Linked DNA regions of Anolis sagrei. The protein of the gene in region 1 interacts with the protein of each later gene in a pairwise test. Links are inferred from orthologs where the notes say so. Each region holds a gene or a part of one and is shown in the gene's direction. Other genes may lie near its edges.

What was found. The genes of interacting proteins can lie anywhere in the genome.
Region 2: the proteins of AP3D1 (region 1) and VAMP7 interact in a two-hybrid assay, tested with the Homo sapiens proteins (2 studies listed by BioGRID and IntAct). The link is inferred for Anolis sagrei from reciprocal best matches to the Homo sapiens genes AP3D1 and VAMP7.

What each region holds. Positions count from the first base shown.
Region 1 is NC_090034.1:51,490,088-51,497,468, reverse strand, and holds the start of AP3D1 (AP-3 complex subunit delta-1), read left to right. Parts: upstream 1-4,293; 5' UTR 4,294-4,528; coding exon 4,529-4,624; intron 4,625-7,381. UniProt on the Homo sapiens protein: Part of the AP-3 complex, an adaptor-related complex which is not clathrin-associated. The complex is associated with the Golgi region as well as more peripheral structures.
Region 2 is NC_090030.1:14,746,654-14,754,120, reverse strand, and holds the start of VAMP7 (vesicle-associated membrane protein 7), read left to right. Parts: upstream 1-4,322; 5' UTR 4,323-4,436; intron 4,437-4,490; exon of another isoform or gene 4,491-4,600; intron 4,601-7,467. Other genes in the region: DNA-directed RNA polymerases I and III subunit RPAC2-like, read right to left, coding at 4,170-4,214. UniProt on the Homo sapiens protein: Involved in the targeting and/or fusion of transport vesicles to their target membrane during transport of proteins from the early endosome to the lysosome. Required for heterotypic fusion of late endosomes with lysosomes and homotypic lysosomal fusion.

The sequences.
Region 1 (7,381 bases):
ATGTCTACGCCCTACACTGCTGTAGGAATTATACTGTTTAGCTGGTTTTGCATCACCTGACAACTGTCAGAAAGTAGCAGACTGTAATGAAAGGACCAAGGCAGTGACATCTCCGGCCCATCCTCTGTTTGGATATTAGCCAGCACACCAGCCACTTAAATCAAGAAATAGCTTCCTAATATCGAGAGAGATATTCTCGATACTCTCGTGGCTGTTGCATGTTCCAGAGTAGGCAAACCTGACAATCTCCACATCAACACTGACAAAGAAACAACAAGAAATACTGTTTTCCCACAAGCATAAAGAAATTACAAATGCGTGACCATATTTCTGTGTACGAACCCACACAATCTCTTCGATCATCTGGAAAGGCCCTGCTCACACTCCTACCTCCTTCGCAGACGCGATTGGTGGGGACGAGAGAGAGGACCTTCTCGGTGGTGGCCCCCCGACTCTGGAACTCGCTTCCCAAGGACATCAGGCATGCCCCAACTCTGGCAGTCTTTAGGAGGAGCCTGAAAACGTGGCTGTTCCAGTGTGCCTTCCCAGAATAGGGAAAACTCTCAGCATTATGTCCTCAAAATGCACTTTACTACTGCTTTAGGATTGACTGCATTCCCTCATTCTCTCTAAAAATCCTATCCCAATTATATCCTACCTGGTTCACATCAGCACTATTTTTTTAATTTTAATCTATCACATTTGGCCTGGCCATTGGTTTTAAATGTTTATATGTTACTGTTGACTGCTTATTGTTTATTTTGTTTATGTGATTATGATTTATATTGCATTGATTGTTTATTGATGTTTTATTTTATTGGTGTTCTGTTTATTGATGTATTGCGGGCTTGCCCTCATATAAGCCGCACCGAGTCCCTTGGGGAGATGGTAGCGGGGTACAAATAAAGTGTTGTTATTATTATTATTATTATTATTATTATTATAAAACTTTCAGCAATATGCCCTCAGAATGCACTTTACTACTGGTCAGGATTGACTGCGTTCCCTCATCTCTCTTTGAAAACCCTATACCAGTTATATCTGACCTTGTTCATGCCCAGCGTTTATTTTTTAATTTTTAAACCATTACATTTGGTCCGGCCATAGGTTTTTAAAATTTTGTGTGTTACTGTTTATTGGTTATTGTTTATATGTGATTTATATTAATTGTATTGTATTTTCTGCTTTGTTTATTGTTGTTGTTTATTGATGTATGGTTGGGCTTGGCCTCATGTAAGCCGCTCCGAGTCCCTTGGGGAGATGGGAAGTTTTATTATTATTATTATTTTATTATTATTATTAGAAACCAACACTTTCTCATTACTTTATTTTCCAGATCACCAGACTGGGCCACAGCAACGTGTGTCAGGGGACAACTAGTGATTTTTTTTTGGTCGTGTTAGGAGCAAGTCGCTTCTGGTGTGAGAGAATTGGCCGTCTGCAAGGATGTTGCCCAGGGGACGCCTGGATGATTTGATGTTTTTATCATCCTTGTGGGAGGCTTCTCTCATGTCCCCGCATGAAGAGCTGGAGCTGATAGAGGGAGCTCATCCACCTCTCCCCGGATTCGAACCTGCGACATGTTGGTCTTCAGTCCTGCCGGCACAGGGGTTTAACCCACTGTGCCACCGGGGGCTCCAGCTAGTGATAAATAAATAAGTACTGTTTTTGTGCTTGTTGTTGTTGTTCATTCGTTCAGTCGTCTCCGACTCTTCGTGACCTCATGGACCAGCCCACGACAGAGCTCCCTGTCGGCCGTCAACACCCCCAGCTCCTTCAAGGTCGGTCCAGTCACTTCAAGGATGCCATCCATCCATCTTGCCCTAGGTCGGCCCCTCTTCCTTTTGCCTTCCACTTTCCCCAGCATAATTGTCATCTCTAGGCTTTGCTATCTCCTCATGATGTGGCCAAAGTACTTCAACTTTGTCTCTAGTATCTTTCCCTCCAGTGAGCAGTCGGGCTTTATTTCCTGGAGGATGGACTGGTTGGATCTTCTCGCAGTCCAAGGCACTCTCAGCACTTTCCTCCAGCACCACAGTTCAAAAGCATCGATCTTCCTTCGCTCAGCCTTCCCTAAGGTCCAGCTCTCACATCCGTAGGTTACTACAGGGAATACCATGGCTTTGACTAGGCGGATCTTTGTTGCCAGTCTGATGTCTCTACTCTTCACTATTTTATTGAGATTGGACATTGCTCTCCTCCCAAAAAGTAAGCGTCTTCTGATTTCCTGGCCACAATCTGCGTCTGCAGTAATATTAGCGCCTAGAAATACAAAGTCTGTCATGGCCTCCACATTTTCTCCCTCTATTTCCCAGTTGTCAATCATTCTTGTTGCCATAATCTTGGTTTTTTTGACATTTAGCTGCAACCCGGCTTTTGCGCTTTCTTCTTTCACCTTGATTAGAAGGCTCCTCAGCTCCTCCTCGCTTTCGGCCATCAGAGTGGTGTCATCTGCATATCTGAGGTTGTTAATGTTTCTTCCAGCAATTTTCACCCCAGCTTTGCATTCATCAAGCCCCGCACATCGCATGATGTGTTCTGCATACACGTTAAAAAGGTTGGGTGAGAGGATGCAGCCTTGCCGTACGCCTTTCCCAATCTTGAACCAGTCTGTTGTTCCGTGGTCAGTTCTGACTGTTGCTACTTGGTCCTTGTACAGCAGTGTTTCTCAACCTGGGAGTCGGGACCCCTGAGGGGGTCGCGAAGGGTTGTCAGAGGGGTCGCCAAAGACTATAAGAAAAACAGTATTTTCTGATGGTCATGGGGATTCCATGTGGGAAGTTTGAGCCAATTCTATCATTGGTGGAGTTCAGAATGTTCTTTGATTGTAATGAACTATAAATCCCAGCAACTACAACTCCCAGATTACAAAATCAATCCTCCCCCAACCCCACTAGCATTCACATTTGGGTGTATTGGGTATTTGTGCCCAGTTTGGCCCAGTAAATGAAAATGCATCCTGCATATCAGATATTTACATTATGATTTATAACAGTAGTAAAATGACTGTTATGAAGTAGCAATGAAAACAATATTATATTAAACATACATCAAGGGAACCACTGATCGCATAGGGAAGCTGATGAGGAAACACAACATACAAACAATCTACAAACCCACCAAGAAAATCCAACAAATGCTACGTTCAGCAAAGGACAAGAGGGATCCTCTTACCTCTGCAGGAGTCTACCGTATACCATGCAGCTGTGGACAAGTCTACATAGGGATCACCAAACGCAGCATTGCCCAGACACGCATCAAGGAACATGAAAGGCACTGCAGACTACTTCAACCAGAGAAGTCAGCCATAGCAGAGCACCTGATGAACCAGCCTGGACACAGCATATTATTTGAGAACACAGAAATGTTGGACCACTCTCACAACCACCATGTCAGGCTACACAGAGAAGCCATTGAAATCCACAAGCACGTGGACAATTTCAACAGAAAGGAAGAGACCATGAAAATGAACAAAATCTGGCTACCAGTATTAAAAAACTCTAAAATTATAACAGCTAAACAACAGAGAGGAAAAAACCAGGCACAGATTAACACCTCCCAGCAACAGATTTTCCCAGGCTCAAGCAGGCCTTCAAATGCTAATGAAGGTGATCAGCTAAACATTCACACCTAACTGCAGCAGGGAAGAGCTCCTTGCCCCACCCCAGCCATTCCACAGATATATAAACCCATTTTCCTACTTCCAACAGACCTCACAACCTCTAAGGATGCTTGCCATAGATGCAGGCGAAACGTCAGGAGAAATGCCTCTAGAACATGGCTCTATAGCCCGAAAAAACCCACAAGAACCTAGTAAAACAATATTATGGTTGGGGGTCACCACAACATGAAGGACTGTATTAAGGGGTCATGGCATTAGGAAGGTTGAGAACCACTGTTGTACAGATTCCTCAGGAGAGAGACAAGGTGGCTTGGTATGTTTTCGTGCTGATGGGCAACAAAAGGGGGCTTGGCTTTCAACAGGGCGCCGCCTCCATGCTGTCATTGGTGGGCATATAAGGGGGCGTGGCGTACTGACGGTGAATATTGAAAAGCCAGGAACCACCTTCGTGATGACGTCAGCCGGCATCAAAAGGGGGCGTGGCTCTCAGCTTCCATTCGGGCGCGGCCTGTGTGCTGACGTTGGTGAGGCTAAAAGAGGGCGGGGCTTCCAGCAGTCGCCGCCTGCGTGCTAATCCTAGTTAGTATGAAGTGGGCGGGGCTTCCAGCCGGCGCTCTTGCGTGCTGACGCCGTCGCGCAAAAAGGGGGCGCGGCTTGAGTTTCCTCTTCTCAGCTGACTCTTCGCCATTTTGCCATTTTAATTGCCTCAGAGAAGCGGCGCCGGAGGGGCAGGAAAGAAGGGACTGGAGGCGGCCGCCGCCCCGGGATGGGAGCGCGCCTTTAAGGCCGAGGACTGCCTTCTCGCCGCCGGTGTTGCTGGAAGCAGCCTTTCCCCACCCGCCTCGAGTCCAGCGGCGGCTTTCCTCTCCTCCTTCTTCTCCTTCTCCTCCTCCTCCTTCCGCCGCCATGGCTCTGAAGATGGTCAAAGGCAGCATCGACCGCATGTTTGACAAGAACCTGCAGGACCTCGTGAGGGGCATCCGCAACCACAAGGAGGACGAGGTGAGCTCCCGCCGCCTCATCTTGGAGTGTCATCTTTCCCCTTCTCAATGCGTTTAGATTCTTTGGAGCCATTCCTTTTGATTTTGTATCTATCTTTTACCATTAGTCTAGTTGTTCACTGTGTATTAATGGTTTATTATATTATTTAGAATAAATCTAATCTAATTCTTTACCATTTATATTTGTTGTATCCATTGCTTCCTAATTTCATCTATTGTTATATTATTTATTTTTGCTACATTGTTTATTTCAAATTATTTGTTATTTATATGCATTTATGTGCAGTGTTTTGTATTTTTATCTATTACTAGCCATCCCCTGCCACGCGTTGCTGTGGCCCACATATGGGTCCTGTGTGGGAGATATGGCCAAATTCTATTGTTGGTGGGGTTCGGAATGCTCCTTGATTGTAGGTGAACTATAAATCCCAGCAACTACAACTCCCAAATGTCAAGATTCTATTTTCCTCAAACTCCATCAGTGTTCACATTTGGACATATTGAGTATTCATGCCAAGTTTGGTCCAGATCCATCATTGTTCGAGTCCACAGTGATCTCTGGATGTAGGTGAACTACAAATCCAAAACTCAAGGTCAATGCCCACCAAACGCTTCCAGTATTTTCTGTTGGTCATGGGAGAACTGTGTGCCAAGTTTGGTTCAATTCCATCATTGGTAGGGTTCAGAATGCTCTTTGATTGTAGGTGAACTATAAATCCCAGGAACTACAACTCCCAAATGACAAAATCAATTTTTTTAGTGAAGGACATACATTGGGTTGTTAGGTGTCTTGTGTCCAAATTTGGTGTCAATTTGTCCAGTGGTTTTTGAGTTCTGTTAATCCCACAAACAAACATAACATTTTTATTTATATAGATACCGTAATTATTCGTATTATATTTGTTCACTATTACCGTTTATATTATTTATAAAACTTCTTAACTATTATTTATTTATATTATTGATATCAGTTGCTTTTTTATCTACGCATTTTTATTACTGTTTAATATATTGTTTGGAATACTCATCATTTATTCTTTATAATTTATTTATATTGCATTATATTCTCTATTTATTAATAATTAATGATTAAGGATTCTTATATTATTTATAATGTTCGTTATCTATTCATTGTAATTTATTAATATTATTTATATGTATTGCGTACTAATTTATCTATAATTATATTTGTTCACTATTAATGTTTATTATTTGGAATATTGGTTATCTTGTATTGTGTGTTTATTATGCATTGTTTTAGGCACACTCTGCCATCTGTAAGCCGCCCCGAGTCCCTTTGGAGAGATGGAGGCGGGGAACAAAAAAAAAGTTATTATTTATTTATTTATTTGCAATTTATTAATATAATATTTGTATCGACAGTATTGATTTTTTATCTTATTTCTTTATTTCGTAACTGTTTCTTAATATTTATTATATTTTGTTTTTATCTATATGTTTACAATTTATTGTTTATATTATTTATAATATCTATTATTTGAAATTTATTTATATTCCTTGTATCCATTGCTTTTTATTTTATTTATTCACTATTTATATTTATCTTTATTATCTTTTAAGCTATTTATTAATGTCCATTATATTTATATTTGTTATTTAGTATTAACACTTTGTTTATATTATTTATATCCATTGCTTTTTATTTGTGTCGATCAATTTAATATTATATTTGTTCATTGCTAATATTTGTTATATTAGTTATTGATTTATTTATGATTTCTTATTAGTATTTGCTTCTCTTTTTATTTTTATTTTTTTAGTCACTGTATATACTCCAGTATAAGCCTATTTTTTCAGCCCCTTTTTTAGGCTGAAATAGTTCCCCTCGGCTTATACTCGAGTCAAGGTTATTTATTATTTTACTCTGTTATTAGTATTATTTTTATTACATTTATTATTTTACTCTATTATTATTATTACACTTACATTATTTTCCTCTATTATTATTTTATTACATTTATTATTTTATTCTATTTATTATTATTATTGCTTTTATTATTTTACTCTATTATTGTTATTATTGCTTTTATTACTTTATTATTACCAATATTATTACATTTCTATTATTTACTCTATTATTATTTTTATTTCATGTTATTGCATTTATTATTCTACTCTATCATTATTAGTAATAGGTAAGCACATTTGCATTGAAGGAGGTTAGAATAATGGTTTAATCAGATTTGGGCAGTCTTATCTTAAATTACAGTTGTATGTAAATACTCAAAAACATTTAACCTACTGATGATTACCAGTACAAGCTAAATTTCTCACTCTCAGCTTATACTCAAGTCAATACGTTTTTGCAGTTTTTTGTGGTAAAATTAGGTGCCTCGACTTATATTCGGGTCAGCTTATATTCAAGTATATATGGTATATATATATATATATATATATACACACACACATATATATACATACACACATACACATAAACACACATATCCTCCCATCTATATTACTATGGGTCTCTTATAGCTATTATTTACTTTTTATGTATTTGTGGCCTATATTTATATGTATTGCTTTGTCCGTTTTTACTAAACTGACTATGTACTTATTAATCTGCTCTATTTGTTGTTTATTTACATTTGTTGCTTTTTACCTGTTTATATTTTCAGCTCTTCTATTTATTATGCATATAATGTGTATGGGTCAGCTTTATTTGTCCTTTATTATCTATATCTCATATTTCAGGTCACTCAGAGGTTGGCACCTTTGTTTTCTGATGCTTCAA
Region 2 (7,467 bases), on another chromosome or scaffold:
ACAATAATGGGGAGGGCTGGGGACTCATGGCTGAACAATGGCATGGGATGCAGGCCTTCTTAAGTAGCTATGAACCGCCAGCATTGGATGAGAAATACTGCTCAGACTTATTTATCATGTTAGAAGCAAATTGAGAATAAAGTTATAATGTATTAAAAAAAACACAAATTTGCCAATTGCTCAGGCTGTTTGGGTGGGAATCCTGAGCTTTGTCCCCTTCTCAAGGCAGGTCTCAAGACAGTTTTCTAATCTTAAAGCAATAACAAAAATTACTATTAATTCTTTATTCTGCCATTTCAATCTTATGTCTCCAAAATTTAATAGAAGTGCTATATTTGGATTTTAGGTATATTAATTGATAGTATGTCATTAATTTCATCAAGACATTTTTCTGCCTTTTCTCTGGTGCTCCGGGCTGTCTTCTGTCTCAGCAGCTGCTCTGTTCTGCTGCCACCTTCTGTCTGCTTCTGATATAACCCAGAATATCAAGGCAGATAATTCACAATATCTGCTTTGAACTGGGTTATCTGAGTTAACACTGCCATATCCAATTTATCAAAAAGTTTATTAAACTGCCAAAGATGGAGTGCACTGTATTGTTTGGAAACCTGTCCTTCAGGTTAACACCCATTGAAGGTGACCAGACTTTGTTCAACTGCCTTAGTGGTTGGCCAACACTCAGTGGTGTATAGAGCGACTGGTCTCACCACCGTCCTGTAGATTTTCAATTTTAGGTGGATTGGGATCTTCTTATCACACATTACATCTGTCATTGCTCTCCACTTCATCCATATGGAGTTTACATGTCCGTGACCATCCGACAGTACTTCGCAGGCAGAGGTTATCTTTGAGCCGAGGGATTTAAAGCTGGTCACTTTGTTGAGGTCAGTCCCCTTGATATTGATGGAGCCATCCTCTACTGTTGGTCCACATTCCATGTACTTTTTTGAGATGTTAAGCTGTAGTCCGAAATATTGCACATGATTTTTCCACACTTGCACTTGAGTCTGCAACTCTACCCATGACTCGGCGGCTAACATAACATCTTTGGCATACAGCAGCATCTAAGGATGTGGTTTCTGTATATCTCTGGTGCAAATGTGTACAAATTGATGGTGACCATGCTGAATAATAGTTTGGATAGAGGACAGTTCAGGCTATGATCTGGAGCAACTTCTGCTGTTAAATGTTCATTTATAACATTTTTATGATGCAGGAGGCAAAACTTTTTGGTCCACCTGCATATTTCTAGCACCCATTTTTTGCCAGTGCTTCTTGTAAGTCCAGAGTAACTCCCAGGTATTTGGGTGTGCTGCAATGCTCTAGTGGGACTCTTTCGCAGGTAATCCTCAGAGTTGTAAAAACATCTAAAGCTTCGGAGAGCTTCTGTTCAACCATGTTTATCAGGCATGGGCAAACCTGGACCTGCCAGGTGTTTTGGACTTCAACTCCAGGGGACAGTTCCATCTTGTCTCCTGCATATGTGATCAGTTGAGGACCCCCTCCCCCCAGCACCAACTACCGCTCTGGGCCAGAGTGAAGAGATGGGGGGGGGGGAAGGGGACAGTTCCATCTTGTCTCCTGCATATGTGATCAGTTAGGAACCCCTCCCCCCAGCACCAACTGCCGCTCTGGGCCATAGTGAAGGGGGGAGGCAGGGGACAGTTCCATTTTGTCTCCTCCATATGTCATCAGTTGGGGGGCCCTCCACTCCCATAAAATGGACTATCCTTTTCTCTCTATCGCCCCCTTGTAGCCTCTGCCCAGATAATGAAACAGTGCCCTTAAAACATTGTTCATTCGTTCAGTCGTCTCCGACTCTTCGTGACCTCATGGACCAGCCCACGCCAGAGCTCCCTGTCGGCCGTCACCACCCCCAGCTCCTTCAAGGTCAGTCCAGTCACTTCAAGGATGCCATCCATCCATCTTGCCCTTGGTCGGCCCCTCTTCCTTTTGCCTTCCACTTTCCCCAGCATCATTGTCTTCTCTAGGCTTTGCTGTCTCCTCATGATGTGGCCAAAGTACTTCAACTTTGTCTCTAGTATCCTTCCTTCCAGTGAGCAGCCGGGCTTTATTTCCTGGAGGATGGACTGGTTGGATCTTCTCGCAGTCCAAGGCACTCTCAGAACTTTCCTCCAACACCACAGCTCAAAAGCATCGATCTTCCTTCACTCAGCCTTCCCTAAGGTCCAGCTCTCACATCCGTAGGTTACTACAGGGAATACCATGGCTTTGGCTAGGTGGATCTTTGTTGCCAGTCTGATGTCTCTACTCTTTACTATTCTATCGAGACTGGACATTGCTCTCCTCCCAAGAAGTAAGCGTCTTCTGATTTCCTGGCCACAGTCTGCATCTGCAGTAATCTTTGCCCCTAGAAATACAAAGTCTGTCACGGCCTCCACATTTTCTCCCTCTATTTTCCAGTTGTCAATCATTCTTGTTGCCATGATCTTGGTTTTTTTTTATGTTTAGCTGCAATCCAGCTTTTGCGCTTTCTTCTTTCACCTTGAATAGAAGGCTCCTCAGCTCCTCGCTTTCGGCCATCAAAGTGGTGTCATCTGCATATCTGAGGTTGTTAATGTTTCTTCCAGCAATTTTCACCCCAGCTTTGCATTCCTCAAGCCCCGCACATCGCATGATGTGTTCTGCATACAAGTTAAAAAGGTTGGGTGAGAGTACGCAGCCTTGCCGTACGCCTTTCCCAATCTTGAACCAGTCTGTTGTTCCATGGTCAGTTCTGACTGTTGCTCCTTGGTCCTTGTACAGATTCCTCAGGAGAGAGACAAGGTGGCTTGGTATGCCCATCCCACCAAGAACTTGCCACAATTTATTATGATCCACACAGTCAAAGGCTTTAGAGTAGTCAATGAAGCAAAAATAGATGTTTTTCTGAAACTCCCTGCCTTTCTCCATTATCCAGCATCCGGATATTGGCAATCTGGTCTCTCGTTCCTCTGCCTTTTCTAAACCCAGCTTGAACATGGTATAGAACAATATAGTAATATATAATACTAATACTTGAACAATGGTATAGTACAATATAGTAATATATAATACTAATATTGTACTATGCTAATAATAGTATGAAAATATATCTTGTAAGCCGCTCTGAGACCCCTTCGGGGTGAGAAGGGTGGTATTTAAATGTTCTAAATAAAGAAATAAAGAAATAAACTCTCAGCATTCCTAACAACCTCAGGCCCCTTCCATTTCCCCCTCAGCCGCTTAAGCCTGAGGCTGTGAGGAATACTGGGAGCTGAAGTCCAAAACACCTGGAGTGCCCAAGTTTGCCCAGGCCTGATACACACACACTGTGCAGGTACAACTGTACCAGGAACTCCAATTTTGTTTGCTTTGCATTGAATGTTTGTTGTAGTCCTAAGTTTCAGGGACTCTGCAGATAGGTGGCTTCCTTTGGCTGCAATCATAGGGCAAGCCACCTGTCAATTATAGTTAGGTTCCCTGGTCCCGCCCCTTTTTGGGTTTTTGGAGGGTATAGGAGACTTTTTGGGTCAGTCCACACAGAGATGCCTTTCATGCAGGACATAATACCAAGAGCTCCTGTAGAAAGCTTCGTCTTCTACGGCTTGGCCGGGGAGATATACAGCCCACAGCTTGGCTGGGGTTATACAGCCCTACAGTTCCTTTGCTGAAGGACTTCAGTCAGCCATCACAGAAACCTGAACTCCTTTTCCCCTGGAAGTCTACAAAGCTCTGCTTGGTAAGGGTCATTCGCGGAAGCCAGGGTCTCCACGCCAACAGAGGCAAAGACAGGCTGCCCAGATTAGAAGTTAAGGATTTCCCCATTAGTTACAGTTATGAAGATAGTGCCTGTTCCCTGTGGACAAGACTGAGAGAGAGCCAATAGACTGTTAAGAAAGCCTTAAAGTACCTGTTTGTTTTCATTAATAAAGAACTTTGTTGAACCTTTAAGCAATCCAAAGACTCTGTTTTAAGGAAATCCAAAGGTCTTTAATCTGAGGCAGCCCCGGCGTCCCGTTGGGCACACAGAATTTATGTCCTGTCTACAGTCTTAATCACAGGCCCAGCGTGCGACAGCACACACACACATTCTGATATGGAAGGCATGGTTCAGAGAAAGGAAAGTCACATGTAGATACTGTACATCACTAAAAGGTGAAGACAGGAGTCACACTGCCCTCCCTCACCATCTGCAGAGACGGGGGCTTCCTCTTCTCCTCTTCCTCGCCCATCTTTCCCTCAGAAACAGACGAGAAACACTTCCGGTTTGTGTTGTCTACTGGCAGCTTTCCGGCCTCGCTCTTGTCGTCACTTCCTGTCTTTCCCCGGCGTCCGAACTCGGCTTCCCAGGAGCCTTTGCGGCCAGGGGCGGAAGCTCACGCGCTGCTGGCTTGTCCTGGAAGCTTGTCGATTACAGGACGGGGCCTGGAGGGTCCGGGCGGGCGCTTGGCCAGGTGAGGAGGCGGAAAAGCCGGGGAGAAGGAGAGGGGAAGAGACGGAACGGCGGTTCTCACCAAATAGGAGGCTTGGTTGCCGCTGAGGGAGGAGACCTGCCTCCTTGGTGGTAGTGAAGCCTCGGACTAGGCCACTGTTGCTATAGCAACGCCCCCACCCTCAGGTAAAGGGTTAGGCCTGACTGAAGCCTTCCTCCTTTCCTTCTCAATTGTGTCCTTCCACACAGCCATATAACCCAGAATATTAATGCAGGAAATCCTACAATATCTGCTTTGAACTGGGTTATATGGCAGTGTGGACTCGGGCCCCTACCACACAGCCATATATCTGCTTTGAATTGGATTATATACGAGTATAGATGTAGGCCTACCACACAAGGCAAATAACCCAGAATATCAAGGCAGATAATCCCACAATATCTGCTTTGAATTGGATTATATACGAGTATAGATGTAGGCCTACCACACAGCCATATAACCCAGAATATCAAGGCAGATAATCCCACAATATCTGCTTTGAATTGGATTATATACTAGTATAGACATAGGCCTACCACACAGCCATATAACCCAGAATATCAAAGCAGATAATCCCACAATATCTGCTTTGAATTTGATTATATACTAGCATAGACATAGGCCTACCACACAGCCATATAACCCAGAATATCAAGGCAGATCACCCCACAATATCTGCTTTGAATTGGATTATATACTAGCATAGACGTATGCCTACCACACAGCCATATAACCGAGAATATAAAAGCAGATAATCCCACAATATCTGCTTTGAATTGGATTATATACTAGTATAGACGTAGGTCTACCACACAGCCATATAACCCAGAATATCAAGGCAGATAATCTTGCAATATCTGCTTTGAATTGGATTATATACTAGTATAGACGTAGGTCTACCACACAGCCATATAACCGAGAATATCAAAGCAGATAATCCCACAATATTTGCTTTGAATTGGATTATATACTAGCATAGACGTAGGCCTACCACACAGCCATATAACCATGAATATCAAAGCAGATAATCCCACAATATCTGTTTTGAATTGGATTATATATTAGTATAGACGTAGGCCTACCACACAGCCATATAACCCAGAATATCAAGGCAGATAATCCCACAATATCTGCTTTGAATTGGATTATATACTAGCATAGACGCAGGCCTACCACACAGCCATATAACCGAGAATATCAAAGCAGATAATACCACAATATCTTCTTTGAAGTGGGTTATCTGAGGCCTCTTCCACACAGTTGAATAAAATCTGACATTTTCTGCTTTGAACTGGGATATATGGCAGTATGGACTCCCAATATAACCGAGGCTCCTTCCACACAACTGAATAAAATCCCACATTATCTGCTTTGAATTGGAATAGATGGAAGTGTGGACTCAGATATCCCAATTCAAAGGAAATTTGGTGGGATCTTTTGCCTTGATATTCTGGATTATATGGCTGTATGGAAGGGCCCTGAGTCCACACTGCCATATATATAATCCAGTTCAATGTGGATTTTATACAGCTGTGTGGAAAGGGCCCTGGTCAAGCTTCCCAGCCTTTCTTTCTCAGCGCTTTTCTTAATGTTGCTTCTCCTTTTTTCTTGAAGAGGATAACACTTGTCTCTGCTTCCTCCTCTTTAATGCTCTTGTGGGTCTCATCTCCACTGCCATATAATCCAGTTTCTGTATCCAGATTGTCTGCTTTGAACTGGATTGTGCGGTAGTGTAGATTCATATTATCCTGCCTCAGGGTGCATACTTTTTGCCCTGGGATATAATAGTAACAGTAATTACAATAATGCTTTATTTCTAGACAGCCCCCTCTTTCCAAGGGGACTCCGGGCAGTTGTCTTCCTAGGATGCAGTATGTATCATCCTTGGATTTGTAATTTGGAAAAGTGCTGTAGCTCTCTGAATGTGTATCAACTGTCAATTTATGACCACCCCATAGATTTCTTGAGGAGTTCTCAGACAAGGAGTGATCAGAGGTGATTTCATCTGTAGTGCTTGGCAGTCTCCCTTCTAGATCATAACCATTCCGCTTCCAAGATCAGACAGACTCTAGTGCCTTTAGGATATGTTTCCCTTAATGTCCTATGAAATTGCAGTCCTTAAAGGCTAGTGTGATGGGGCCCTTGGTGGTTTTGACTTTTGCAGATTTGATTGTTCATGGATTATATTTGATGTTTCTCTCTAGAAATCTCTAGCTCTTCGAGTACAATTCTTTGATCAACTTCTAGCAGACATCAACCATAGAACCTCAAATGGAACCCAGGGATGGCTTTTACCTTACATACTAATAGGTTCTCATATCTATTTGGTGTTTCAAAAACATTGCAGTAAAACAAAAGCTTTTCTCTGCTGATTCTTCAGCAGAGAAAACAAAAGATACCCTTGTATTAAGTGCACAAACACAGTGGGTCACGTAGTTGACTCAATCAGCGATTAAAACCAGTTAACATTGTAAGGCAAGATTTTAGGTGTCTGTATGGAAGGTTCACAGAACATTTGGAGAAAAAGCCCTGATGTGATTACTACATACTTTGCGAAGTCTGCGCAACAGCACAGGAGGACCATTCTCATCCTCCTGTGCTGCAGAAAGACCTGTATCTTTTAATCTTCTTTGACAAAATAAAGTGCCATCCTAGAACATAATGTCTTGAAGAGATTACATTTGAAAAGTCACAGTGACTATTCTTTTGTGTAAGGTTAGCGCCTGAAGGGGATATAAAATGGAAGTAATGTGAGTAGACAATAAATAATTAGTACCGTAGTATAAGCTAAGAAGGTTTTTAAAAAGCCTTTTCTGGATGGAGCAACTTGGGCAAGGAGCAACCGATTTTCCCTTTGGCAAACTATGTGGCTAGGATTGCATTAATACACTTCTGCTTTCTTGAATAGTTTTATACAAGAAGCAAGAGGCATAATAGGAAGCTAAGATTCCTTGCCCTTTAAGAAACTTTCTTACTGCAAGGGCTGCCATTGGATCATGTGCCCTAGTTTTTA